Sus scrofa: one gene and its partners. The protein of the gene in region 6 purifies or fractionates together with the protein of the main gene of each other region. This does not show direct contact. Links are inferred from orthologs where the notes say so. Each region holds a gene or a part of one and is shown on either strand. Other genes may lie near its edges.

What was found.
Region 1: the proteins of EFTUD2 (region 6) and USP39 purify together in Homo sapiens (affinity purification with mass spectrometry; 4 studies listed by BioGRID and IntAct, with this or other methods). This does not show direct contact. The link is inferred for Sus scrofa from reciprocal best matches to the Homo sapiens genes EFTUD2 and USP39.
Region 2: the proteins of EFTUD2 (region 6) and PRPF19 purify together in Homo sapiens (affinity purification with mass spectrometry; 3 studies listed by BioGRID and IntAct, with this or other methods). This does not show direct contact. The link is inferred for Sus scrofa from reciprocal best matches to the Homo sapiens genes EFTUD2 and PRPF19.
Region 3: the proteins of EFTUD2 (region 6) and DDX21 purify together in Homo sapiens (affinity purification with mass spectrometry; 3 studies listed by BioGRID and IntAct, with this or other methods). This does not show direct contact. The link is inferred for Sus scrofa from reciprocal best matches to the Homo sapiens genes EFTUD2 and DDX21.
Region 4: the proteins of EFTUD2 (region 6) and PRPF3 purify together in Homo sapiens (affinity purification with mass spectrometry; 3 studies listed by BioGRID and IntAct, with this or other methods). This does not show direct contact. The link is inferred for Sus scrofa from reciprocal best matches to the Homo sapiens genes EFTUD2 and PRPF3.
Region 5: the proteins of EFTUD2 (region 6) and PRPF8 purify together in Homo sapiens (affinity purification with mass spectrometry; 9 studies listed by BioGRID and IntAct, with this or other methods). This does not show direct contact. The link is inferred for Sus scrofa from reciprocal best matches to the Homo sapiens genes EFTUD2 and PRPF8.
Region 7: the proteins of EFTUD2 (region 6) and EEF1A1 fractionate together in Homo sapiens (co-fractionation; 4 studies listed by BioGRID, with this or other methods). This does not show direct contact. The link is inferred for Sus scrofa from reciprocal best matches to the Homo sapiens genes EFTUD2 and EEF1A1.

Annotation. Positions count from the first base shown.
Region 1 is NC_010445.4:59,129,010-59,132,813, reverse strand, and holds part of USP39 (U4/U6.U5 tri-snRNP-associated protein 2), read left to right. Parts: intron 1-1,769; coding exon 1,770-1,912; intron 1,913-3,804.
Region 2 is NC_010444.4:10,857,618-10,860,940, reverse strand, and holds the end of PRPF19 (pre-mRNA-processing factor 19), read right to left. Parts: intron 2,958-3,323; coding exon 2,802-2,957; intron 2,594-2,801; coding exon 2,524-2,593; intron 2,286-2,523; coding exon 2,200-2,285; intron 1,899-2,199; coding exon 1,728-1,898; intron 1,568-1,727; coding exon 1,462-1,567; intron 768-1,461; coding exon 670-767; 3' UTR 626-669; downstream 1-625. UniProt on the Homo sapiens protein: Ubiquitin-protein ligase which is a core component of several complexes mainly involved pre-mRNA splicing and DNA repair. Required for pre-mRNA splicing as component of the spliceosome.
Region 3 is NC_010456.5:72,060,276-72,064,079, reverse strand, and holds the end of DDX21 (nucleolar RNA helicase 2), read right to left. Parts: intron 3,557-3,804; coding exon 3,512-3,556; intron 2,958-3,511; coding exon 2,688-2,957; 3' UTR 302-2,687; downstream 1-301.
Region 4 is NC_010446.5:98,768,705-98,773,263, forward strand, and holds the start of PRPF3 (U4/U6 small nuclear ribonucleoprotein Prp3), read right to left. Parts: upstream 3,021-4,559; 5' UTR 2,901-3,020; intron 1-2,900. UniProt on the Homo sapiens protein: Plays a role in pre-mRNA splicing as component of the U4/U6-U5 tri-snRNP complex that is involved in spliceosome assembly, and as component of the precatalytic spliceosome (spliceosome B complex).
Region 5 is NC_010454.4:47,888,504-47,892,307, forward strand, and holds part of PRPF8 (pre-mRNA-processing-splicing factor 8), read right to left. Parts: intron 3,003-3,804; coding exon 2,838-3,002; intron 2,752-2,837; coding exon 2,533-2,751; intron 2,403-2,532; coding exon 2,190-2,402; intron 1,796-2,189; coding exon 1,670-1,795; intron 1,574-1,669; coding exon 1,468-1,573; intron 1-1,467. UniProt on the Homo sapiens protein: Plays a role in pre-mRNA splicing as core component of precatalytic, catalytic and postcatalytic spliceosomal complexes, both of the predominant U2-type spliceosome and the minor U12-type spliceosome.
Region 6 is NC_010454.4:18,487,717-18,491,520, forward strand, and holds part of EFTUD2 (116 kDa U5 small nuclear ribonucleoprotein component), read left to right. Parts: intron 1-138; coding exon 139-204; intron 205-965; coding exon 966-1,001; intron 1,002-2,996; coding exon 2,997-3,087; intron 3,088-3,804. UniProt on the Homo sapiens protein: Required for pre-mRNA splicing as component of the spliceosome, including pre-catalytic, catalytic and post-catalytic spliceosomal complexes. Component of the U5 snRNP and the U4/U6-U5 tri-snRNP complex, a building block of the spliceosome.
Region 7 is NC_010443.5:92,420,277-92,424,836, reverse strand, and holds the start of EEF1A1 (elongation factor 1-alpha 1), read right to left. Parts: upstream 2,887-4,560; 5' UTR 2,854-2,886; intron 2,171-2,853; 5' UTR 2,136-2,170; coding exon 1,992-2,135; intron 1,797-1,991; coding exon 1,617-1,796; intron 1,496-1,616; coding exon 1,199-1,495; intron 1,116-1,198; coding exon 965-1,115; intron 877-964; coding exon 620-876; intron 532-619; coding exon 297-531; intron 197-296; coding exon 72-196; 3' UTR 1-71. UniProt on the Homo sapiens protein: Translation elongation factor that catalyzes the GTP-dependent binding of aminoacyl-tRNA (aa-tRNA) to the A-site of ribosomes during the elongation phase of protein synthesis.

The DNA of each region.
Region 1 (3,804 bases), on a different chromosome or scaffold from region 6:
ATGGGGGAAGCTGAAAAAGGAAAAAAAAAATTATTATTTAACATTGCTCTTCATTAAGTTAAAAGGTTCTTTTTATCTGCTGAGTTAACTGTTTCTTGGTTTAATTCCTTTCTTCATTTTTGACAAATTTACTCCTTTTTGATTCTGTACTGGGAGAATTTTTTTTAACCTGTTGGTTCCTGCTTTTTTTTTGGCTGCACCAATGGCATGTGGGAATTCCCAGGCTAGGGGATGAATGCTCACCATAGCTGTGCCCCCTCAAGCCACAGCAGTGACAGCACTGGATCCTTAACCTGGTGACCGGAGAACACCTGAAATACTGTTTTTATATTCTGTATTTCATTAATTTTAACCTCTTATTTTTTTTTTTTGTTTCCTTTTTTCTGTTTGCTTTTCTTTTTTTATGGTGTATTAAGGTGGAAAGTTACTAATGTGAGGTCTTATTTTTCAATGTAGGCATTTATAGCTATATATTTCTCTCTTAACCACTGCTTTAGCTGCATCCTGTGTGGTTTTTTTTGTTTTGTTTTTTGCCTTTTTGTCTTTTAGGGCTGCATCAGGCTAGGGGTTGAATTGGAGCTGCAGCCGCAGGCTTACGTCACAGCCACAGCAACAGCAACGAGGGATCTGAGCTGCGTTTGCAACATACACCACAGCTCATGGCAACACCAGATCCTTAACCCACCGAGCAGGGCCAGGGATGGAACCTGCATCCTCATGGATGCTAGTCGGGTTCGCCAACCACTGAGCCACGATGGGAACTCTGTCCTGTGTGTTTTTATATGTTGTATTTCCATTTTCATTCACCTTGAATTCTTTCCTAAGTTCCCTTTTGATTTCCTTTTTAATCTACTGGTTATTTAGGAGTTTGTTATTAATTTTCACATATTTGTGAGTTTCTCAAATTTCTTTCTGTTGCTGATTCTAATTTCATTTCACTGTGGTCAGAGAACATACTTTGTATCATTTTTATACTTTATTTATTTTTTATTTTTTTGCTTTTTAGGGCTGCACCCACGGCATATGGAAGTTCCAGGCTAGGGGGTCTAATTGGAACTGTAGCCACAGGCCTATGCCACAGCCACTGCAACTCCAGACCCATGCCTGTCTGTGACCTACACTATAGCTTATGGCAATGCTGGATTCTTAACCCACTGAGCGAGGCCAGGGATTGAACCTGTGTCCTCATGGATGCTAGTCAGATTCATTTCCGTTGAGCTGTGATGGGAACTCCCCCCTTTTTAAAAAAAAAAAAAAAAAACTTTCATGGTTTTTAAATTCTGAGCTTTTAACAAGTCCTCTTTTTAAAAAAAAATTTTTTTGGATTATAGGTTACTTACAATGTTGCATTAGTTTCAGGCATATAGCAAAGGGAATCAGTTATACACATACCCATTTTTTTTATCCCATCTAAGTTATTAGAGAACATTGAGTAGATTTCCCTGTGCTATACAGTAGGTCCTTGTTAATAACAAATCCTCTTTCTCACTTGACGTTTGGTTTTCCTTATAGAAAAGAATACCCTTGTGACTGGTTAGAGTTCAGCAGTATGGCCATATGCTGGCTGAAACCAGCAGCTGAGGTATTTTAGTTGGCCTTAGCAGACTGCTATTCCCAAGCCTTGTAGGTGGTTAATGGGATCAGGTGCCTTCTGAATTCTAAGTGTAAGGCAAAATTATGTTGAAAAACCCAGCCGCAACCAAAACAAAGCTCATGTCCCTGCTCTCCTGCTCCAGCACTAATTGGATAGTTTTCTTTTCTCACTCTAGGAATATAAGACTTACAAGGAGAACTTTCTGAAGCGCTTCCAGCTCACCAAGCTGCCTCCATATCTCATCTTTTGTATTAAGAGATTCACTAAGAACAATTTCTTTGTGGAGAAGAATCCAACTATTGTCAACTTTCCTATTACGTGAGTTTTCCCTTCCTAACTCTTAGGGGGAGTAAGCTTGAATTTATTTTCATATTTTTGTACCACTCTTAATTTTGGACTGTCTTTAAGTTGGAGATTGCAGTGAACCTACCTACACTACATAAGTTAAGAAGATAATGTAAGAAGTCACTTCTTAGCAGCTAGCTGGCGTGTTGGCTATCTAGAACTCATGTGGATTTCCTAGGACTCATATCTAAATTATCCTTTAACAATGACTATTTATTAGTCCAAGAGGGACACTCTAGGAATAAATAGCTATCACTAACACATAGAAAGCTAAGCAGTGTAGTTAGAACAAAATAATCTGTTTATTCCTTCATTGTTTACATTGAAAACTTTTTGTATTTTTGGACAGGTAATATATTCATCGTGTAGTCTAAAATTCAAAGAAGGAGGAGTTCCCTTTGTGGCTCAGTGGTTAGCGAATCTGACTAGGTACCATGAGGTTGCAAGTTTAATCCCTGGCCTTGCTCAGTGGGTTAAGGATCTGGCATTGCCATGAGCTGTAGTGTGGGTCGCAGACGCGGCTCAGATCCCATGTTGCTGTGGCTCTGGTGTAGGCCGGAGTTTATGGCTGATTGGACCCCTAACCCGGGAATCTCCATGTGCTGCAGGTGTGGCCCTAGAAAAGAAAAAAAGACCAAAAAAATAAATAAATAAATAAAAAATAAAAAAATAAAATTCAAAGGAGGAGTTCCCACCTTGGCACAGTGGGTTGAGAATCCAACTGTAGCAGCTCTGATTGCTGAGGAGACGTGGGTTTGATTCCTGCTCCGGTGCAGTGGGTTAAAGGATTAGCCACAGCTGCTGCTCGGATTCAATCCCTGGCCTAACAACTTCCATATGCCATGGGTGTGGCCATAAAAAAAAATTCACAAGGAGATACATATCTAGAAGTGACCACTGGATGTGACTGCTGTGAGCATTTATTGTCAGTTCTTCCAGAGATGACCTTACTGTGTTTCATGTTATGAGTGGTAGCACATCAGATAGTAATAGATATAGGATATAATCTCTCTTATTCTACCTTGTATTTAAATTGCCATAAATATCTGTAGGCTGCAGAAGGTTATGTTTTTCCTGAAACTAATGTAGTTAGCATTCTCTTAATATTTATGTTAACTGTCAGTCTGTTTCCCTGTTTACCATCATCATAGTCATAACAGTAAGCATTAGTAATAGCTCTTTATTTTATAATAACCAATGTACATGTATATTTCAACAGACAATTCAACAAATAAAGCAAAAAGACTCCTTATTCCATGTACATCAGGAATGTTCCTCTATCTAAAAAAACAAATGAGTGTTCATGTATTAAAGATAAATTTGATAGGAGTTCCACGGTGGTCTGGTGGTCAGGATTATTAGGTGCTTTCACCACTGTGGCCCGGGTCAATCCCTGGTCTAGGAACCGAGATCCCACATCAAGCCACGGTATACCATAACCAAATAAATAAATAAATAAAATTGTTAAAAAAATAAATAAATTTGACCTTGAAAAGTCCCAGTTGAGGGAACCTAGTCAATAGTTTCTTCTTCTTTCAAAATTTCTTCCAAAATTTTGGAAGCTGTAGGGGAGCCAAAGTGGATTCCATAAAGAAGAGAAAGCTGGTAGGAAAGAATAAAGCTGCTCTTAAAGCAGAAAAGAGGGCAGGTAAGCTCTCGGATCTTGCTGTTTCTTCAGTGCCTGGTCTCATTTCCTGGTCTGAAACCCTTGAATAAATTCCCCTTTGTGCTTAAGCTCCCTAGGGTGGATTTCTGCTACTTGAAACCATTCTGCCTACTTGACTAAAAGAAAAAAATAAAGAAGCAAAGTCCCAGAAAATAAAAGAAAAAAAAGTCTGCATGATCTGCCTGGTTTGCCATGTTGA
Region 2 (3,323 bases), on a different chromosome or scaffold from region 6:
AATAGCAACAACAACAACAAAAAAGACAAAAAAAAAAAAAACAAAAAAACACCAGGTCTAAGCCTGCATAGAGAGGGAAGAGTCATTTTGGCAGGTGGCTTGTAGATTTCTTGCTTTCCTTTTTATTTCTGTTATGCAATTTAAAACTTAGAAACGATGGGCATTCTGGTGGCCAGGTCCGACTTGGGTTCCTCTCCACTATAGACACACACAGGAAGTGGACTCTGTTTATTGTTTTCTTTTTTTAATGAAACTAGATCACTGCTTACAAAACCCTGCCTGAGCCCTCCGCCCAGCCCTTCACAGTTCCCTTGGCTCAGCCTCTCCCCGATGCGCAGGAAGGGAAATGAGGTGGCTGTGGAACGGCCACCAACTCCAACTCCATGGACGCCACGAGGGGAGAGGCCCTGGGCGCCGACCCTGAGCCCTCAGAGGTGACAGTCCTGCCTCCCACGGCCGACCCACTGGGCCCGGAGGCTGCACAGATAACGGTGGTCCACGCCGCCCTGGCTCTCAGGCCACCACCCAGACCAGAGTGAAATGATGTGAATGTCCCGTCCCAGACGCCCCCCTCCCCCCAGTAGTCTCTTCTCCCCCACCCCCCGCCCCCACCCCTAACTCTACCCCACTACTGAGACGAGGCCCAGCTCCGGTCAGGAGGAACGGGGCCTACAGGCTGTAGAACTTGAGGCTCCTGTCCATGCCTGTTGAAGCAATGAACTTGGCGTGGTGCCCGAAGGCCACCCCTGTGGTCACGCCGCTATGCTCTGCGAAAAGAGACAAGAGACAACAGTGAGGCGGCTTTTCCCAGCACCGACCCCTGACGACACGCCCCGGCCCACCCAGTGCTCTGTGTCAGCCAGTCACCGTCATCCAATTCAAGTTTTACTTTCTGGGTTCTTTTTTCCAACTTTTTTTGTTGTTGTTGTCTTTTTAGGGCTACACCCGCAGTATATGGAGGTTCCCAGGCGAGGGGTCTAATCGGAGCTATAGCTGCCAGCCTATGCCACAGCCACAGCAACACTAGATCCAAGCCAAGTCTTTGACCTACACCATAGCTCATGGCAACGCCAGATCTGAAACCCACTGAGTGAGGCCAGGGATTGAACCCGCAACCTCATGGTTCCTAGTCGGATTCGTTTCCACTGCGCCATGATGGGAACTCCATTTTCCAACTATTTCTGATCCCCAGCTGGTTGAGCCTGTGGAGGACTATTACGTACTCTTACCATCCTCCAGAGGTTAAGTAACCAGCCCAATGTCACAGGAGCTAGCATTTAGAGCCAAGCAGTCTGACTCTGCGAGGTTTTCCTGGCCCCTAACCTCTACTGCCCAGGCAGTGATTAAGAGCTACCTTGGCAAGTTCATGCTACCCTAGACATTCCTAACCAGTGCAGCGTCCCCCGTTCTCCTCTGGGCCAGGGCACTCAGAGACCTCAGGATCCCAGGGCTGGCCTCTACCTGTAAAGTGAAGAATCTCCGTCCACTGTTTGCAGATGTAGATCTGGACATCTGTGCCCCCCAGGGCCAGGTAAGTTCCACTCTGGTCAAAGATGAGGGACTTCACCTGTCAGAATCAGGAGAGGTCACATGAGGGGGGCAGAACTATGGGTAACTGGGATAAACAGAGGCAGCTTAGAGTAATTCAGTGAATCAATGATGACAAATGAGGAGCGGCAACCAAGAGAGCTGGCGCTGGGAAGGGGAGGGAAGGGGGGCAGGAGCACCTCAAAGTTGTTATCCAGCTGCAACGTCTTGAAGTTCTTCAGTTTGCGCAGATCCCAGAGCTTGACAGAGGAGTCGTCGGCCGCCGTGGCCAGGTAGTAGCCATTCTCGGAGAAGGCAATGCTGGTGATGGGGCCCGAGTGGCCAGGGAAGTTGGCCACGTTGGTTCGCTCCTATCAGTTGGAGGGCAGGGAATAAAACGTCACCCGCTGGTCACAAGGGAGAAGATAAGCCTCACCAAACTCCACGTCTGGGATGCCCTCTTCTGTCCCTCAGGGAAGGACAACCCGGAGGACGAGCAGGGGTGGACGGCCCAGCCCAGGGCCCCCAGACCACACCTACCGTGTCACACACACAGCCACTGCCTCGCCACTCTCGGGACACCCCCAGGGCCAGGTGCCATAAGCACGTCATCACAACCCACAGTCACGAGAGCTCCAACCCTGGGCCACAGACGGAGGCTGCCAGTCCTACCTTCAAGTCCCAGATCTTGATCTGAGAGTCCATGGTGCCTGTTCCGAAAATGAGTCCATCCGGGTGGAACTGCGCACACGTGAGAGCTGTGGAGAGGGGAGGGGGACGCAGGGTCAGAGCCCACCGGGAAGGCCAGGCGCAGCAAAGGCAGCAAAGGCAGGCTCCTTGCTCCTCCCGCTGCTCACCGTGCCAGCACCACGCCCACCACTCCGCCGGCTCTGCGGTTAAGTGTATGTTTAGAACAAATGAGCAAACAACTTCATGAAACGTATAAATAAATGACACGTGGCAAAGGAAGACCCCAGTGCCTTGGGGGCAACTCACAGCAGCCAGAGGTCTCGTCGGTCACCTTGGTGAGCACGCGTCCTGTCTGGATGTCAGAGAAGGCCCAGTACTGAAAAGAGAGACAACGGAGCTGGTGAGACGTGAGGTCCCCAGGGCTGGCGGGCCCTCAGGAAGGCAGGGACCCTGGCAAGGCCGGCCCCCTCAGCAGAGAACCTTCTCCTCGGGGCTCTGGGGAACCACAGGGGCGGGTAGGGTGTTCCCTCCTCCCAGGATGTTGGGGACAGGAGACCGCTTCAGGGCCCTGCCTGGGACCACACCTGGTCATCAGAGGAGCTCAGGAGATAGTCCCCAGTGGCGTGGAGGCTGAGGCCTGTCACAGCGCTCTCATGGGCCCGAACAACCTGTACACAGGAGGCGTTCGGAACCGACCAAATCCTGATAGTGGCGTCTGGGGAGGCGGAAAACACCAATTCCTAAAGGGAAAGCAAAGAGGCAGATCATCAGAGAGAGGAGATGGCCTCCAACCATCTTATGAAAGGAGGCTGGGAGTGGCCACAGCCTGGCCCCGGCACCACGCACTCACCCAGTGATGCCTAAATGCTACTAGAATGGGAAATTCAACAGCACTTGGCCAAGCGGGGAGGCCCCGCCACCTAGCGGTAAAAAGACAACTGCCCCAGAGGCAAGAAGGACAAACCGCACACCCTATTTCCAGGACCAGGGACAGAAAGGCAGCTAGACAACTGAAAACTGAATTTTTAATTTGTGTTTACTTAAGAGCCACATGGCCACTATCTGGAGTGGCACAGGTATGAACAGTACCAGGCCTGGAAGGGGCT
Region 3 (3,804 bases), on a different chromosome or scaffold from region 6:
CGTGGCTCAGTGGTTAACGAATCTGACTAGGAACCATGAGGTTGCGGGTTCGATCCCTGGCCTTGTTCAGTGGGTTAAGGACCCAGCGTTGCCATCAGCTGTGGTGTAGACGCCAGATGTGGCTGGGATCCCATGCTGCCCTGGCTGTGGCAAAGGCCAGTGGCTATAGCTCTGATTCAGCCCCTAGCCTGGGAACTTCCATATGCTGCAAATGCAGCCCTAAAAATACAAAAAAAAAAAAAAAAAAAAAAGAATTTCAAGCTTCAATTTTAGTTAAAAAAAAAGTTACCAAAACCATAAATAGTAAGTACTAATATCTTTATTATGGCGTAAAGCCTTATTTTCATACATTAACTCAATTTTACAGTAAAAACATCTTATGTACAACTGTAAAGAAACTGCTGCACAGATAGTTCCAACATAAAAATTGATTGTATTTTAAAAGTTCATTGAATTGATACCTAAATTGTAAAATATTTTCTCTGTAGAAAACAGTAAAAACAATAACATTTCCCAGGTTAGCTCAACAAGCCTATTTAAGCACATGGTAGCTGCAGTATACATTTATAAATATGGTTTGAATTCAGGGATTCAGGAAAAACTTTAGCTTCATTTATTTATTTATTTGGCCGCCCTGCAGCATATGGAGTTCCTGGCCCAGGGATCAGCTCCGAGCTATGCCACAGCTGCAGCACAGCTGGATCCTTTAACCCACCAGGCCTGACCGGGGACAGAACCGGCATCCCAGCACTTGATCCTGTTGTGCCACAGTGGGAACTCCATAGCTTCATGTATTGAAATAGTCATGTTTTCCTTAAAATTGAGTTTTGTAAAGTTAAATTCCCATCCATCTCTCCTCTCAACCCCCAATCTTGATTTTTGCCTGATGATTTTTCTTTAAGCTAATCCACATCAAGGTTTTAACTGTATTTTCCTAAAGGTACAGTGTCCTTTTAATCAACTTAATAAAGTACCCATTCCTATCCAAACCGAAACGTTTTGGTTGTTATTTCAGCAAAACCAGAAGCTAATAAAACATGATCCACAAGGCACATGACTTGTATGTCATCAAATACCTCCCCTTACTCCCTCTGGCTTGATGGGAAACCATGAGGTCAAGTGATAAAACTGACATGTGGATCAAGGAATAAAAGCCAAGAGAATGTGAGAACAGAAACATCTAGTCAGGATTCAAGTTCAGAGCTGAAATCCAAATAGAAAAAGGATGCTGCCTCAAGAATTAAGGAGCTGAGCTGGCTACCCGAGCCCCTTACTGCAGAGGTGACTGCTAAGTAGTTGGAAATAAAGAGCCAGTGAGAGAAATCAGGGCCTAGAAAGATTTCAATTGTTCCAAATAATTAAATGAACACAAGACAGGCCATGTGTTTGAACTTCTCCTATCATAGTCTGTTTCCTGAGATTCCCAATACAGAATTTCTAGGAATTAAGTCAAGAAGACAAAGCTACACTGAAGCTCCTGCACCCCTTGCAAGGTTTCCCAGAAAAATCATTTGAGACCTCAGAGCAATACTGGGCCAGGGGCTATATTCCCTTCCTCAGTTCCCTCCAAGCAACAAATTAACTGTCTGTTAAAACGAAGACCCTAAATGGCTACAACCTTTCAATAGAGTAGCAGTCTATTAGAAAAAGACCCTATCCTGCAGCTATAAGAACTAGGCCTCATTGTACCTAAAAACTCCAGCTTGCCTCTTAGAAATTAAACTCTAGAAACAGTAAGGACTCGGTAAGTTTTCACCATTAAAGGGATGCTTTATCATGCATCTTCACCTGTTCCTCTCTTTGCCTTCTTCTCACATGTAGAAACTATTTTCAGTGGCTTTTTTTGATTCTTCTGCAAGTTTCTGCCCCCTACTCCCTTAGCTCCTTCTTGGTAAATGTTAATCTTCCAACCAGAGGTGAGTACATTATCAAGCACCATTTAACCCACCTCCTTGCTTATGAAGAAAGTTATGGGGCCACCTTATATACCTGGAATTCCTTAGACTTGCTTTCCAGTAAAACATGGAATTCACTGAAGCATGAATCATCTTATATTGAGAAGCTAAAAATGCACCAAAATGCACATAACAATGGCTAATCTATGTAATATCTCCTATCAAATGTATCACCATCCTCCAAATCTAGAGCATACACTGTGACACATCCCAGCTAAGTTTGCTTCAAAACATTGCTCAGTATTAATTCTCAGAAGACACATTATAGGACCACAGGAGTAATCATTAAGCAAGTGGCTGAGGAATCCCAATTACAGAACAAAGCCTTGAGTGCTCAGCGTGCTTCTCTAGAAACTGTCGATTCCCCATGGTATTCATTCAAGGAAGGACACTACTGAGACACTTCTAAGTACAGACAGATCAACTTAAAAAGTATCAGCAGATACATGCTTGATTTTACCTTGTAACCTATAGACAATGCACTAGGATAGGCAATGAATCCATATACCTTTTCAAAAGGAAAATTCGATACAGAAGTAGCAATAAAGTTATAAATGACAGTCATCAGAGGAAATAATTTAGATGAAGCTAGTCTCTCTCTTGAAGAGATGGGGACTGGGTAAGCGGTCAGGAAGGATAGACAATGTGCTTTTGACTTTGTATGAAAAACAACGTTCAGTTCCACGTTGGTGAACATGTTCTGTTTTTGCCGTGTAAATCCTCTACTTCAAATTACTGTCCAAACGCTTTGCTAAAACTCCGCTTCTGGCCTTTGTTTTGGAATCTGTTGCTTCTGCTGCCACCTCCTGATCGCTGTCCCCTGAAGTTTCTGTTTCCTTCCCGCTGTCCCCTGAAGCTTCTGTTTCCTTTCTGCTGTCCCCTGAAACCTCGACCGCCTTCCCGCTGTCCCCTGAAGCTTCGATAACCTTCCCGTGGTCCTTCCAGCTCTGGTTGCTCGGTGGCCACAGAGAGCTGCCAGCGTCGGGAATCATGCCATTTTTCCTGTTGAGAGATGGTTTTGTTTTTACCTGCTTCGATTTTTATCGAATTTAGTTTTAAAAGGCATGAGAAAGACAAGATTTTTACCCTTTTTCTAAAGAAAAACCAGATAACCTAAGTGCTTAAAGGTCACTGGTCAAAAATAAGTTTCACTGTAAGAAATACCCTCAACATTTTTTCATTTCAATCACTACAGGGTATCCCCAGCTGTCAGGTAATAAAACATATAGAGCTACCACCACACGCAGTCTCACAGCAGTACTGAATAAAAGACACAGCAATTAAATATATCTGTATAAACCCTGTGTAGCACATATGGAGAAAAAAGCTGGATAATATTTGAAATGCTGTCAAAAGGAAAATAGGAACACTGACTAAGAGAAATACTAGACTAAAAAAGGCTAAGAGAAAAAAATACTAAAATGTAATTCTTAATTGTCATTAGTAGAGGGACTAGAGCAGTTGTTTTCCTATTATTCTGTATTTTAAAGAATAAACATTTTAACTTTAAATTACAATTTAGATAGGTTAACTTCAAAACCAAGAGAAAATAATACCTGTACTTCTGTTACTGCTGCAGTAGGGATATCAAAGCAAACACCCTAGAAATCAAAACAAATGCAAGTTAAGTCAGCCTTTGACAAGAATTATAAAATGTACATTAAGTGATATTCCCAAAGACCAAGTACTATGTTAAAACAAACAAACAAACAAACAAACCAGGTATCAGTTTTAGATAAACTTCAGACAAGCCCAATACATCATATCTCCCCAAAGCACAATAGCAAAAGGCCAAAGATATAAAAACAGGACTCAACACTACCTAGAACTGACTAGAAGCCATTTGTGA
Region 4 (4,559 bases), on a different chromosome or scaffold from region 6:
GCATCTGTGACCTGTGCTGCAGCTTGTGGCACCATGGGATCCTTAACCCACTGAGTGAGGCCAGTGGTCAAACGCACATCCTCACAGAGATGTCAGGTCCTTAACCTACTGAGCCACAACAGGAATTCCCATTCTGTTTGATTTTTAAACCTAACTCAGAAAGTATCAGTGGATCAATGAAATCTGTGGAATAAACAAACCCTGAATTTAACCTAGTCTAAGAAATGAGTTCCAGCTTCTTTTTTGATTCTGTCATATTCAAGGATTGCAAATATTTATATAAAGTCCACTTAGAGGTCAGCTTTTCTATTCTTATTTCCAGGCAGGTATTCCTCAACCCAGCCGTTCTTCTTTTTTTTTTTTTTTTTGGCAGCACCCATGGCATATGGAAGTTCCCGGGCCAGGGAACGAAGCCGAGCCAAAGCTGTGGCATGGCCAGATCCTTAACCCATTGCACCACATTGTGAACTCCAACCCAGGCCTTCTTTAAGGCATGCAAATAAGGGAGGCTTTATCCACATCAGTCATCCTATACTAAAGCTCATAATCCTTAAGGCTGTTTTTGTCAATTTTTTTTTTTTTTTTTTTTTTTTTGTCTTTTTAGGGCTACATCTTCAGAAGTTCTCAGGCTAGGGGTCCAAACGAGCTGTGGCTGCTGGCCACAGCCACAGCCACAGAGGATCTGAGCCTTGTCCATGAGCTATATCACAGCTCACAGCAAAGCCGGATCCTTTAACCCACTGAGGGGACCAAGGATCAAACCCGAATCCTCATGGTGACTAGTCAGGTTTGTTACCACTGAACCACAATAGGAACTCGCTCTCACAATTCTCTGTAGTCACATTCATCCTAGTGGGAATTCTGTACTCAGATATTTTTCTCTTATGTTCTACAGGGCCTCTGTCATAAATATTCTCTCAGTTCAGAAAAGATTACTTTCATTTTGGATGTACTCTCTTTCCACTTCTATTTTTCTCCTGTTTAGCTTAACAGAGAAAACACCATCATAAAAGACTCTCTAGAACAATCTTTAAATGCAAATTAATACGATTCTTCTTCTTCCTTTTTTTTTTTTTTTTTTGCTACTGTACGTTCTGGGGCCAGGGATGGAACGTGGACGACACAGAAGCATCTCAAGCTGCTGCAGTGACAACACTGGATTCTTAACCCACTGAGCTACAAAAGAACGCTTCAAGATGTTTTAAGATGGAGTTCCTGTCATAGGATAGTGGTTAACGAATCCGACTAGGAACCATGAGGTTGTGGGTTCGATCCCTGGCCATGCTCAGTGGGTTGAGGATCCGACGTTGCTGTGGCTCTGGCGTAGGCCGGCGGGTACAGCTCCGATTAGACCCCTAGCCTGGGAACCTCCATATGCAGCCCAAGAAATGGCAGAAAGAAGAAAAAAAAATTACACTGTACCTTTTAGGAGAAAAGATATCCAGAAAGAAGAAAAAAAAATTACACTGTACCTTTTAGGAGAAAAGATATCTTAAAACTTTTTTTGCCCCCCTTGGGCCGCTCCCACGGCATATGGAGGTTCCCAGGCTAGGGATCTAATCGGAGCTGTACCCGCCGGCCTACGCTAGAGCCACAGCAACGTGGGATCCGAGCCGAGTCTGCGACCTACACCACAGCTCACGGCAACGCCGGATCCTCAACCCACTGAGCAAGGCCAGGGATCGAACCCACAACCTCATGGTTCCTAGTCGGATTCGTTAACCACTGAGCCACGACAAGAACTCCGGTACAGTCTAATTAACTTCTGCATTCTTGGTAGGTTTATCCTCTATAAGACCTGTTGCTAAACAGTGTATTTAATTTTGGTATAACCATATGAAGCTAGTGAAGTCATGAAACTAGGAGTAAAAGATTTTGTGTCTTACTGACATGTTATATAATAAATCTATGATGGCTCTATTTACCCATCATGAGACAGCACTATAGCTTATCAATTTCAACATGCTAACTGTTCAATGCTCAAAAGAAGGGTATTCAGACAACATAGGGAGTGAAGAAAGAGCTCTTCCATTTACTAACCTTCTGTCAAGCAATTCCTCTGAGCCTCAGTTCATTCATCTTACAAAAGGAGGACAACTGCCATAGCTATCTGGCACTTAATTCATTCAGTAAGTATTTACTGCACAACAACTAAGTGTTAATGTAGTGGGATACTGCCAAGGATACATACAACAGTGAACAAAAGAGACAAGAATCCTCACCTTAGAGGGCTTATATTCCACTAGAACTGAATCATAGATTAGAAAGTTTAAGCCGTTTGAAAATCCAAAGCAATAAACGGGGTACCACTCTATAAACGAACCGTATGCCCAAGCACTATACTTATGTACTCAATTTCAACCCATTCCCTCCATAATATAACGTGCAGACTAAACAGTCAGTGGGCAAAAATCAAACTTCCAAATAGTAACTAGCTTTGTCATTAATCAGACGTTCAACAATAACTGCGTGGGGCGGGGTGGGGGTGGTTACGGTGTGGAGGGAGAGAGAGGAAGGCAGAATGATCTCAATGAGCAGGTAGCAGAATCTAATCTTCTGAAGGAATTCCTTACTTCGTGCTCTTCTTTGCTACAAGTCGAATTTCCTCCCTTAAACCCTATCCTTTGCTTTTTGCTCTCTCCATCTCTCTGACCGGACCCTTTCCCCACCTTGTTCTACCCAAACTCATCTCAGAGGTAGTCTCCTCACCCTGTCCCTTTCCCGCCCCCGCCCTTTTCCTCTCAACAATCTCATTCCAACCCGTTCTCGCACAGAACCTGGTTCTTTCCTCAGCCTCCTTTCTGTTGAACCTCCCGCCTCGGTCCTCCCTTTGGACTGAAACTTAGCCCCAGCCGCTAGGACCCGAGCATACCCTCTCTGGGCCCGGGGCCACTACTCACCTCACAAACTTCAGCCCCTGAGACGGAGCCCGAACGTTACACCGGAACCGGAAACCCTCCGACCGCCCTACGGCCTGCCGTCGCTACCGCCACGGCTGCTGCCTCGCCACGGTCCCACAACTTGTGACGAAAGAGGGCGGGGCCCCGGTTCGCGCAGCCGTAGTAGCTACTTTTCCGCGGCGGAGCGCATGCGTGGCGGAGCCGTAACGATTTCCCCCGGCAAGCTACTTGGCTCCTTCGGTTCCCCGTGCTAAACCTGTTAACTACATTAGCGCAAAATTAATGTTACCTGAAGCATAAATTGAGCTGCTTGTAGTATTCCCGTGGAGAATAAGTGCGCTAAGGCTATGGCTAGAACTAAAAGCAGAGCTTCTGCGTTTGGGCTAAACCTGGACTTTCTGGTAGGAAGTAAACTTCAGAGTAGTGATCGTTAGTATTAACCACTCTCTCCTTAGCCTTTGTCCTTAACAGTGGTGCCAAGAGACCCAGAAAACCGACTAGTGTGGGAGGAGTCTGAAGATAGTACCCTCTCACACACCTTTGTTTCTTTCTTCCATTCATTCGCAAAACAAATAATTGCTGGCAGTCTAGTACTTTTTAGGCCCCACCTGCAGCATATATAAATTCGGGTTAGGGGTTGAATCAGAGCTGCAGCTTCTGGCCTATGCCACAGCCACGCAGAATCAGAGCTAGGACTGTGACCTACACCACAGCTCAGGGCAACACTGGCTCCTTAATCCACTGGGCAAGGCCAGGGATGGAACCTGTGTTCTCATGGATACTAGTGGGGTTCTTTACTCGCTGAGCCAGGACAGGAATTCCTAATCAACCATTTTGGTCCTCAACTAATCCTTACCTAACAAGCACCTTTACTTCTTGCCAGCTCCAATTATAATTCTTTTCTTTTTTTTTCTTCCTTTTTACGGCCTAACTTGCAGAATACAGAAGTTGCTGGTCTAGAGGTTGAATCGGAGCTGCACCTGCTGGTCTGTGCCACAGCCACAGCCACACTGGATCTGAGCCGCACCTGTGTTCTACACTGCAGCTTGCTGCAACACTGGATCCTTAACCCACTGAGCAAGGCCAGTTTGATGTGGGATCAAACCCACATCCTCGTGGATACTAGTTCTTAACCCCAATTATAATTCCTCCAATTATAATTTTTAATAAACAACTTATTTAACTACCTGTAAGCTTGTAAGCCTCCCCAATTTTGTAGTCCAGCAGAACACGATTCAAGTGCTTCTTAAACCTGTGTCTCCCTCAGTAAAGAACTTATATAAAGCTAAACTCATGAAGTTCCCACTGTGGCCCAACAGGATCACAGCATCTCTGCAGTGTTGGGATGCAAGTTTGATCCCTGGCCTGGCACAGTGGGTTAAGGACCTGGTGTTAGGCTGCAGTTGGCCCAGGAACTCCATGGCTTTCCATATTACTTAGTGAAAAATGCCCTACACTCCATTACTTCTGTGATCTCACTTGTTTTTTGTTGTTGTTGTTGTACCCGAGGCATGTAGAAGTTCCTGGGTCAGGGATTGAACTCACAGCACAGCAGTGACAATACCGGATCCTTAACCACTAGGCCACGAGGGAACTCCTGTAATCTCATCTACTGCTCTTTCCTTTACTCATTCAGCTCCACAGCTACAGAATCCTGAC
Region 5 (3,804 bases), about 29 Mb from region 6:
GTTTAGCTCCTGCTGAACTGGGCAGAGACTGAGAACAAGAGGGAACCTCTCTGGGGCCAACTGTGCTTGGCCCAGTGGCTACATCTGCCATGGAAACTGGGCTGCCTGACAAGAGAAGCCCTAAAGGGCCAGAGCAAAGGGGGCCGTGGGAGCAGAAAGCAAGGCGAGGCCAACCAGGAAAGCAAGCAGCACCTCTCACACCCCAACTGGCTCTCCACCAAAGGCCTCCCAGAGGAGCCCCAATACCAGAAGAGGTAAACACTGCAATCACCTTCCCTTCGAACTCCAAACACTGGGCTTGGGGAAGGAAATCTGTTCATGCTAAGAACGTAATGGAACATAGATCAACATCAAAAACAGTATTCTAAGGAGTTCCCGTCGAGGCGCAGTGGTTAACGAATCCGACTAGGAACCATGAGGTTGCGGGTTCGGTCCCTGCCCTTGCTCAGTGGGTTAAAGGATCCGGCATTGCCGTGAGCTGTGGTGTAGGTTGCAGACGCGGCTCGGATCCCGCGTTGCTGTGGCTCTGGCGTAGGCCGGTGGCTACAGCTCCGATTCGACCCCTAGCCTGGGAACCTCCATATGCCGCGGGAGCGGCCTAAGAAATAGCAACAACAACAACAACAACAACAACAAAAAAAGACAAAAAGACAAAAGACAAAAAAAAAAAAAAAAACAGTATTCTAAGTGTAAAAAGCCAATCACAAAAGACCACACACTATGTGATTGTACTTACACGAAACATCCAGAAAAGATAAATATATAGAGACAGAAAGTAAATTTATAGTTGCCTAAATAAGGAAGGGTCAAGTGAAAAAGAGCAACTACTGATGGGTACAGGGTTTCTCTTTGAGGAAATGAAAATGTTCTAAAATTAACTGTGGAGATGGTTACAAACCTGTGAAAAAACTAAAAGCCATCAAATTATACACTTTAAAGGGGCCACTGTGTGGTAGTGAATTACAGCTCAAGGGATTGGGGAAAAAAAAAAGAACACACTAGAAAAAGACCAGAATAAGATGATATGGAAAGACAAAGAAGGGTTCGGATAAAGCCCCGATGGATAATCTCAGAAACCAAGATGATATCAATAACTTAGTTTGGGCCAATTGCCCAACTCCCAAATTAGCTTATAGCGTGAGGGGAATACTTCAGAAAGGAAAATATGTCTCCCTCATAGATGAATTTTATCTAGTAATTCTTCTATCCAGTCAAGAAACTTCTCTCTTCATCTCTCACTATGGCGCAGCAGGATCAGTGGCAATTTGGGAGTGCAGGGACGCAGGGTGGATCCCCAACCCAGTACAGGTTAAGGATCTGCAGTTACTGCAGCAGCAGCTTAGATTGTGACTGCGGCTCAGATCTGATCCCTGGCCTGAGAACTCCATATGCCAAGGGGCAGCCAAAAAAGAAAAAGAAAGAAAGAAATTTCTCTTAGAAGACTGAGGTCAAATGCTTTACTCTCACCTTGACAGAGTGTCTGTGGGATATTGGGTTGATCAAAGGATCAAAGTAGAAAGCTGGCAAGTCAGGATCCTCAGTTTTGATGAACACAACATTAGGAGTGTGGTACCTAAAATGAAAGAAAAGTCATCAGTCAAGTTCTCCTGCCCTGGCCCAACCTAAATGCCAGCGTCGCCTTTCCCCCAGCTGGGACTAGTGCTCTCACCAGGTGAGGTGGACGTGGTGTGGAAGGTTGTTGTACAAGTAAGGAAAGGCAATCTTGTACTCAGTGCGGATAGGCTGCCGGATGATGATCTTGTTAATATCATTGAATTCATTCCAGTCTTCATCCCTAGGGTACAAAATCAAGGATGAGCAGACGAGCTGGGGAGTCTGGAAACTACAAAGGAATCTTAGGATCAAGATTAGATTTCAGGAGTTCCCGTGGTGGCGCAGTAGAAACGAATCCAACTAGGAACCGTGAGGTTGCGGGTTCGATCCCTGGCCTTGCTTACTGGGTTAAGGATCCGGCGTTGCCGTGAGCTGTGGTATAGGGTCACAGACACGGCTTGGATCTGGCATTGCTGTGGCTGTGGTGTAGGCCGGCAGCTGCAGCTCTGATTTGACCCCTAGCCTGGGAACCTCCATATGCTGCAGGTGCGGCCCTAAAAAGACAAAAAAAAAAAAGCATCAGATTTTATTCATTCAACCCAAAGTGCCTAAAATCCCTCCTCTCTCCAACTTACTGTAGGTTGATGTCTCGGACAAGAGGCTCAAACTTGGGGCCTCCAGGAATGGCCATATTGAGTGCCTTGGAGGTAAAAAAGGCCTTCAGATCAAATAGATAGAAGTAGTTGTCATCTACCAAGTCTGTCAGAAGCTGATTGGCCAGGCGGTAGAGAGTGGACATCATGGGCAGTGTGAACTGCCAGCGCTGGTAAGTGGAACCATTCACATACCTAGGGAAAAAAAGAGGCCCACCTCAGGTAGGTATACCAGCAAACCACGCCATACTACCTACTGTTCTCCCAAGACCCCTTCTGGAGTTCCAGCACTCTCACGGGAGCAGTAACTCCACCCATCACTCACTTTCGGCTGTCCCTCAACGGCTGGTGGTCATAGAACCAGTCTAACACCGGGGCATCCTCCTCAGGATCCAGCTCTAGCTGAATGGCTTCCAGTGGCTCGACATCTAGGATGTTGTCAGCATAGTCCAAAGGCGGCTCCTCATCATCAAAAGGGGGGAAACGCATCCTCTTGAAATGCCTCCTGTCTCTTTTTTCTCGACGCATCATAATCCACATTGACCTGGAAAAGTCAACAATGTCACATCAAGGCTTCTACCCACTGTCCCCCAACCACCACCACCACCACCACATTCCAGGCCTTCTTACCCCCACTGGGAGATGTAGACAGGCTCAATGACCCAGGGAATCTCATTGACAAAGGAAATGGCTCCGGTGATGTGGTATAGCACAGGCACATCCCGAATCTGCTCCCAAGGCATCGGCATGTTCTCCAGGAGTTTGAGGACTGCATGGGGCATGTACTTGAGAGCACTGCAACAACAGAATGAAATATTTAGAAATGACAAGGTGGGAGTTCCCCTTGTGGCGCAGTGGTTACGAACCCGACTGGTACCCATGAGGACAAGGGTTCTATCCCTGGCCTCATTCAGTGGGTTAAGGATCCGGCATTACCATGAGCTGTGGTGTAGGTTGCAGACGTGGCTTGGATCCCACACTGCTGTGGCTGTGGTATATAGGCCAGCAGCTACAGCTCCGATTCAACCCCTAGCCTGGGAACCTCCACATGCTGCAGGTATGGCCCTACAAGGACAAAAAAGACCAAAAATAAATAAATAAATAAAAGACAAGGTGTTCTGCTACCTGTGCCATGCAGAGAAGCCACTAGGTATCACAGTGCCACATTCCACAGAAAAATCTGCCTTACAATCCAACTCCAAACGCAGCGCACAGGTCGTCCAGGATCAGGAACCACGGCCCCACCTCCAACTATGCCACTGTTGCTCTTAAACCTCACAGTCCCACAATACTGCATTCGGTCCCTCTAAATCAACAGCTGTTCCCCTAAACACAGCTTTTAGGTTCTCATTTGCTAAGACATTTGTACGTGTACTCATTCAGCTTGGGAATACAGAAAAACAAGAGTACAGACACCTCAGAAGTTAACTGTCCCTGAAACTGAGGGTTCTGGTCACTTAGAAGTTACAGGCAACATTGTACCATTTTATAAATAATAGCAACAAAATATTCATCACACTTTATTGTAACCATTTGTCTAATAACTGTTACTTCACTAGGCTGTAAGCTCTAGCAAGGCCATTACTGTCTTTTTTTT
Region 6 (3,804 bases):
TCTTTGTTGTCCCATAATCTCCCCTGCTCTCCTCCTCCTCTCCTTATCCCTGAATTGTGTGGTGTATTGGTAACTGGGGGAGGGTGGAGTCGATTTTCCTCTGTGGCCAGCAGAACATAACTTTCTTTTCCCTTGCAGACGTGTTTTGTAGATTGTTTAATAGAGCAGACTCACCCGGAAATCAGAAAGCGCTATGACCAAGATGTAAGTAGAAATTCTGTGGAGGGTTTGGGATGAACCATTCAGAACACAGGGGGGTGTCTCTCCTTCTCCTTCCTTCTAACCTCCCACTCTCATTATAAGTAATGATGCCTATAATATGCTGCTTCATAATTGTAATTTCTATTAATAGCCCTTAAGAAAATAATTTCCATTTTCTCAGGAACATAGAGAATATTAACCTGCAGTATTTTTGGATGATCTGTTCTGCACTTGAGATCCCTCCTGTGTTCTGATATATCCTGACTTTTATAGCCTATTCTTTCCTGTCATAGTATTAATAGCCTACTCTATAAATATAATACAGTTGGACCTTGTTGTTTCCATGATAAATTTAAATGCCTGTGAATGAGGCCCAGTGTGGCTGCAAGTCTCAGTGCAATAACTGTTCAGTCTCCGCCAGATTGACTGTTTTGATGTGCGGGTGTTCCGTGAAGGCTAGAGGTGTCTTCCTTTACCACTGTGCAGAATTCAATGCATTTGATGTGATTTAGCTCTCCAGCCACCTCGGTCCTTAGTGACTTCCCTGACTCCCCCCATAAAACCATCCAGGAGCATTTTCCACCTGGGAGGGCCCTAGTCTCATTGAACTCTCTGTAGCGCACCCTCTTGCCTTCCATCTGTTCTCCTCCTGAGCCAGAGGCCCCCAGGTTAGGAGTGGGTGAGGGGAATGATTGATGGTTTGTGGGTGGCAAGAATCTGAATTCAGGTGGTAACTACATTTTTTTTTTTTTTTCTTTTTTCAGCTGTGTTACACAGACATCCTCTTCACAGAGCAAGAGGTAAGTGTGCCTTTGGGAATCTGATTGTTGCCACACCAGACCCAGCAGTGGTGGTTTTGTAGGGAAAGTTTTTATGATAACGTTTTGGCCCATACAGCACCCGTCCCCCATAACTCCCATCCCTCAACCTCTTTATCTCCCTGCTTCGTCCCATGATCTCTAACTTGAAAGAGAGCTGGGTAGGCAAACTGTAGGATAAAAGGAGAGACCCTCCTGTCCTTACCTGGATTTAATTTAGCCTAATGGGGCAGATGCCAAGAGGTGGTGTGTACATTTATCTGTAAGTTATACAGAAGCCAAACATGATTTTTAAAATGACATCATCCTTAAAATCTATAGGATGACTCCATCCATATGTCGCTCTTCCTAGGGGCAGCTTCCCTTAGAGAAGAGGTTCATCTCTCTTTGTTCTTCTCTTTCTCTGTAAAGGAGTGCACGTATATCTCTGTCTTTTCCATTCCATCTGGTTAGTCTTTCCATCTAGAGGGGATCTTTATCCCTCCCCTCTAACACCTTCTGTTTCCTCTTCTCCTTTTTTTTTTTTTTTTTTTTTTGTGTGTGTGTGTGTGTGTGTGTGTCTTTTTAGGGCTGCTTCCATGGCATATAGAGGGTCCCAGGCTAGGGGTTGAATTGGAACTGTAGCCACTGGCCTACACCACAGCCACAGCAACACAGGATCCGAGCTGCGTCTGCGACCTACACCAGAGCTCACGGCAGCCCTAGAGCCTTAACCCCCTGAGTAAGACCAGGGATCAAACCTGTGTCCTCACAGATGCTAGTCAGATTTGTTTCTGCTGAGCCACAATGGGAACTCCCCTCCTTTATTTCTGTCTCTCTTAAATGACCACATGGAAAGCACAAATGTATAAGTTTGACTAACCAAAGGAACTCTAAACGGTGCTGGCATATGATAAGCAATCAACAAATATTAGCTATTTAAAAAATATATGTGTGTATATATTTGACTGGAGTTGGGCTTTTTTTTGTTGGGTTTTAGCTGTGCCTGTGGCATGTAGAAGTTCCCAGGCCAGGGATTGAACCCACACCACAGCAGTGACATAAGCCATAGCAGTGACAATGCCAGATCCTTTAACCCACTGTGACGGGCTGGGGAATTGAACTTGCCCCTCCACTGCTGCAATCAGATTCTTAAGCCACTGTACCACAGCAGCAACTCCTACTATAACTTTCGCTATATTTAAAAAAAAAAAAGGAGTTCCTGTTGCGGCGCAGTGGTTAACAAATCCGACTAGGAACCATGAGATTGCAGGTTCGATCCCTGCCCTTGTGCAGTGGGGTAATGATCCGGCATTGCCGTGAGTTGTGGTGTAGGTCGCAGACGTGGCTCGGATCCTGCATTGCTGTGGCTCTGGCATAGGCTGGCGGCTACAGCTCCGATTCAACCCCTACCTAGCCTGGGAACCTCCATATGCCGAGGGAGCAGCCCAAGAAATGGCAAAAAGACCAAAAAAAAAAACCCAAAAAACAAAAAAAAACCTAGGAATTCCCTCATGGCCTAGCAGGTTAAGGATCAGTGCTATTACAGCTCTGGCTTGGGTTTGATCTCTTGTGTGGTCTGGGAACTTCCACATGCCACAGGCACAGCCAAAAAAAAAGGAACCTAAAATAACCCAGATAGTTTCTTTTGATTTATATGATGTTTAATTATTTTTATTTATAGTGTACGAGGAAGATAAGATTTTAGGACTGTGGATTCTCCTATTATGGTTTACCACTGCTTTGCTTGCTTGTTCTTTTATTTTTACTTTTTTGTATTTGAACCAACTCTCCCCCATCCTGGGAAATGCTGTTAAGACCAAGATAGTTTGTCTTCAAGGTCATTCTGATTAGAGGACTAGGTTACAAAATCACACACACTACAAGGAGAGACAGTGGTGTAACTTACTAGCAACTGGGAAGCCCCCAAAGCAGAGTAAACCCCTCCTGCATAGGATGAGCTCTTGATCATCCTGTCTCTCTCTCTGTGACTTTCAGAGGGGTGTTGGCATCAAAAGTACTCCTGTGACAGTGGTCTTGCCAGATACCAAAGGAAAATCCTATCTCTTCAATATCATGGACACTCCAGGTAGGATGTTCCTGACCTTTTACTGTCAAAACCTTGACTTATTTTTTTCTTGTGCTCCTACTATTTCTAGAACAGAAAAGAGCATTATGTCTTTCTTTTTACATTCTGTTCATTAAGATGATAATTTTCATTTTTAACGGTTTCCTTTGCTTCTAACCAGTTAATTAGCAAGCACTGTGCTCCAGGTCTTCTGTCTTATTCCTCTCTTGACTCTGCTCTAGACTATTTAAATTTGGGGGAATCTTATTCATATATTAGTTTCAGCCTGTCAGTCACTGTGCTAGACATTGGGGTGACAAAGATGAGTCAGACATGGTCCCAGCCTCAGGCCATCTCAGTCTTTTGATGGAGACCACGGGTACTTACCAGTGGCTGGGGATGTACAGGTTGCCATGGAGCAGCATATCTTGTCCCTTGGTTGCCTTTTTCTCTTGATTCATTTTTATTTTTTGCTTTTTAGGGCCACACCCATGGCATATGGAGGTTCCCAGGCTAGGGGGCCACAGCAGTGCAGGATCTGAGCCTCATCTGTGACCTACACCACAACTCACCGCAATGCCAGATCCCCAACCCACTGAGTGAGGCCAGGGGTCAAACCCGCATCCTCATGGGTACAAGCAGGTTCTTTCTGCTGCGCCACAATGGGAATTCTGGAAAATCTGGGTTTTGGCAGATTGGCCTTTTGCCCCATCAGGTGCCCTATGCCCTCCTACTTCT
Region 7 (4,560 bases), on a different chromosome or scaffold from region 6:
GAGACAAACAGTTCTGAGACCGTTCTTCCACCACTGATTAAGACTGGGGTGGCAGGTATTGGGGATAATATTCATTTAGCCTTCTGAGCTTTCTGAGCAGACTTGGTGACCTTGCCAGCTCCAGCTGCCTTCTTGTCCACAGCTTTGATGACACCCACAGCAACTGTCTGTCTCATGTCACGAACAGCAAATCGGCCTATTAAAACAAAAATTAAATCACCATGAGAAACACTTTCTCTACATAACTGCTTTTCCATTTTTACTGAAGCTTAATTACACTAAAAAGGCACTCTTACCCAGAGGAGGATAGTCAGAGAAGCTCTCAACACACATGGGCTTGCCAGGAACCATATCGACAATGGCAGCATCACCAGATTTCAAGAACTTGGGGCCATCTTCCAGCTTTTTCCCAGAACGACGATCAATCTTCTCCTTCAGTTCAGCAAACTTGCAGGCAATGTGAGCTGTGTGGCAATCCAGCACAGGTGCGTAACCAGCACTGATCTGGCCAGGATGGTTCAGGATAATCACCTTAGGGAGAAAATTTGCATTTAGCACATTTTAGACATTTAGACAGTTAAGGTTCTGGCAGTTTAAAAACCTGTCACTGAAGTGTTACCTGAGCTGTAAAGCCAGCTGCTTCCATAGGTGGGTCATTTTTGCTGTCACCAGCCACATTGCCACGACGAACGTCTTTGACAGACACGTTTTTGACATTAAAGCCCACGTTGTCCCCAGGAAGGGCTTCACTCAAAGCTTCATGGTGCATTTCAACAGACTTGACTTCAGTTGTAACATTGACTGGAGCAAAGGTGACCACCATGCCAGGTTTGAGAACACCGGTCTCCACTCGGCCCACAGGGACTGTACCAATACCTGAAGTATTCACAGCACAGCATAATTATCTCGTATGAAGACAAACATCACTGCAACCCATACCAGCTGAGTGTAACGTTCAACTTACCACCAATTTTGTAGACGTCCTGGAGGGGCAGGCGCAAGGGCTTGTCAGTTGGACGAGTTGGTGGTAGAATGCAATCCAGAGCTTCAAGCAGTGTGGTTCCACTGGCATTGCCATCTTTACGGGTGACTTTCCATCCCTTGAACCAAGGCATCTAAAACACAAGATCATCAATTAGTGTTTTCAAACTTATCCCTTCCCAGACTTAAGTTTTGAGAACTCATCAAAACCACTTACATTAGCACTTGGCTCCAGCATGTTGTCACCATTCCAGCCAGAAATTGGCACAAATGCTACTGTATCAGGGTTGTAGCCAATTTTCTTAATGTAGGTGCTGACTTCCTTTACAATCTCTTCATATCTCTTCTGGCTGTAGGGTGGCTCAGTGGAATCCATTTTGTTAACGCCAACAATGAGCTGTTTCACACCCAGGGTGTAGGCCAGAAGAGCATGCTCACGGGTCTGCCCGTTCTTGGAAATACCTGCTTCGAATTCACCAACACCAGCAGCAACAATCAGGACAGCACAGTCAGCCTTTAAAAAAGAAAAAAAGGCCACACCCTGTGAAAACCTCTCCAAAAAGGACAGATCCATGGTTTCGCCAATTTATAGATAACTCAAAATGTTACTCTCAGGAGTTCTTAATCCTACAAACCTGGGAAGTGCCTGTAATCATGTTCTTAATAAAGTCTCTGTGTCCTGGAGCATCAATGATGGTCACGTAGTACTTGCTGGTCTCGAATTTCCACAGGGAGATGTCAATGGTAATACCACGCTCACGTTCAGCCTTTAGTTTGTCCAAGACCCAGGCATACTTGAAGGAGCCCTTTCCCATCTGCAGGGATTAAGAAGGGTTACTCGGTAACTAAACTCCTTAGTCCCACTTGGAAGCAATGCTAGGTTTCACTTCCATCTCCTAAACTTGGCTGGAGTTAAGCCACTTAGCAAACTTTGCAATGTACTAGTTCAAGTCAGATATACACTAGTTTTAGAGAACTACCACTTAATTTGCTGACGTTACTTTACCGACCTCCGCAGCCTCTTTTTCGAACTTTTCGATGGTTCTTTTGTCGATCCCACCGCATTTGTAGATCAGATGGCCAGTAGTGGTGGACTTGCCCGAATCGACGTGTCCGATGACGACGATGTTGATGTGAGTCTTCTCCTTTCCCATTTTTGCTTAGCTTTTAGCGATGGCTTTCACGACACCTAAGACGACAAAAACCTTCTTTAAACTACTGTCCCGACGACCGGAGACTCAGGCACAACCCCAACAGCCAAGGGCAAACTCCAGGGAGCATTAGCACCGGCGCCCTGCGGGCCCTGCCCGGCCTACACCCAGCGAACGGGGCCGCCCCGGCGCCCAGCCCCTCCCCCACCCGGGCCGCGAGTCCCGGGAAGCGGCGCGGGCAGCACCGCCCGGCCCTTTGTGCGCCGCCCGCCGTCCGCGTCCTCCATCTTGAGACCGGGAGCGGCCATCTTTCCGCGCTCGCAGCCCGCCCGGGCGGGGCGCTGGGTCTCCGACCGCCCGCCCCGCCCCGCCGCGGCCGTCTGCCCCGGGACCGCCGGGCACGGAGGCCACCTTGGGCGGCCTCGGCTGGGCCGCCCTGGCAGTAACACGCGGCTGCCGGCCGAACTCGAGCGCGAAGACAGACGGGGCGGGCGCGAAGGCGCGGATCGCACGCGGCGGCCACGGCGCCCCAGCAGGCCGCCACCGGGCACGCGGTAGGGAACCGCGAGAGCGGAGGGCCTCGAGTTCTCCACCTCCCCCCGCCCGCAGCTCGGAATCAGGACCAGGGCGCAGAGCCCTCTACGCGCGGGGGGCCGGGAGGCACGCTAAGGCCGTGGCCACCGGCGGAGGCCATGCGGACGGAGGCCACACCCGTACTCACCTGTGTCCTGGCGGCAAACCCGTTGCGAAAAAGAACGTTCGCGGGGACCACGGCGCTTATATATGGTCCTCCCCCACCCTCGGGGAAAAGGGCGGAGCCAGCACACGACACCACTTTCCCAGTTTACCCCGCGCCACCTCCACCCGGCACCGGTTCCACCGCCGTCCCCTCCCCCCATCTTCGGGGACCGTGGGCGATGTGCGTTCAGCCCACTGACGAGCACACGGCGCCCGGCGCATGCTCCTCTCAACCAGGAGGATGACGACTGCTGGTGGGTGGGAGGCGGGGTCGAGCGCTCACTCGGTTCTAGGTTTAGTGGGAGTTTATCGACGGTCCCTGGGATTTCCCTGGCTGAGGAGAGTCCTCCTTTTGTATGAATTACTCTCCGCACAGCTGGGGGGTGGGGCGGCGGGGAGGCGTCCAGAATCTTCCCTGAACCGGTCGTAGCTTAACTGCAAAGTTGGACCGAGATGGGAGCCCTTACCCGGCAGTACCCCACCGGTCCTCAGTCTTGCGGTCTCGCAGGTTAAGGACTAACCCCTGGAGCCGCTTCCTCTGCCGGGGCTTCTCCACCGCCCTTGCCGTCCGCGCCCCTTCCGGCTGGAGAGGGAGGCGTAAAAGGCCGGGGAACCGCGGCGGCAGGGGCCTCGGGGCGGTCTTCAGGGCCGAGAATCCGCGAGTGGCTCAGTTTGCTGACCAACAGCCTGGCGAACAGGCTCCTGCGCTGACCTCTTGGCTTTTTCCATTCAGTTCTTTTATCTAAGTTCGTTCTACACACCACGTGGTACTCCAGACGTCCAGTTTTTGAGTTTAGAATAGACTTAAGTACTACAGTTTTCTTTACTTCTAATCCTAATTTTATTACGTTTAAGACCCTGAGTGTGTGTCTACCCTCCTATTAACATTTTTTTTCCAGTGTATACTCTTGGTTGCAAGCATGAAAAACCTAAAAAGAATTTTTTGAGTTCAGTGCTTATACACGATCTCAAGTAGAGACTAAGATCTACAGCGCCAGGAAGCTTATCCACCCAATTTACTACTCCAACGTTTGCTGTGAAATCACTGTTTCTCAAAAATGGCCTATCCCATTTGAATAAACGGCTTCATCTTTTGTCGTCCTATCCATTGTGACTGCATTTTAGGCATAAATCCAGGGCAAGACAAGATGAGGCCTTTTTGGTTGGCAATCAGGCAGATATTCAAAAATATTCCTGAAGAAAGAGGAACCTTTATTTTAAATGAGCTAATTACTAGATCGTCTCTTCCACGTGTAGAGCACTACTGCAACTTTTTGAGCCAATCTATCAACAAATATTTGAGAACCTACTATGTGGCCAGAGCTAAGAGTGGCTCCGAAGCATATGCAAAAGAAATACTTCCTTTGGGGGAAGAAACCCACAATCTAATTGGAAAAGGGAAACTAATATATAGAGCAATGGGAAGTAGTTAAAAGCAAATTTGTATGGTGCTTCCTTACTTTCTATTCCATTGTAGAATCTAGTTTTTCCAGTCCTTTTAGTTTCTTTTCACCATCCAATAGCTTATTTTCTTTTTAAAAGGTTTTCTGAAATAGTTTTCCTGTATCTTTTACCATTCTTTGTAGATGTAAATTTCTTTTTTTTTCTTTTTTTTTTTTTTTTGTCTTTTTGCCATTTCTTGGGCCGCTCCCGCGGCATATGGGAGGTTCCCAGGCTAGGCGTCTAATCG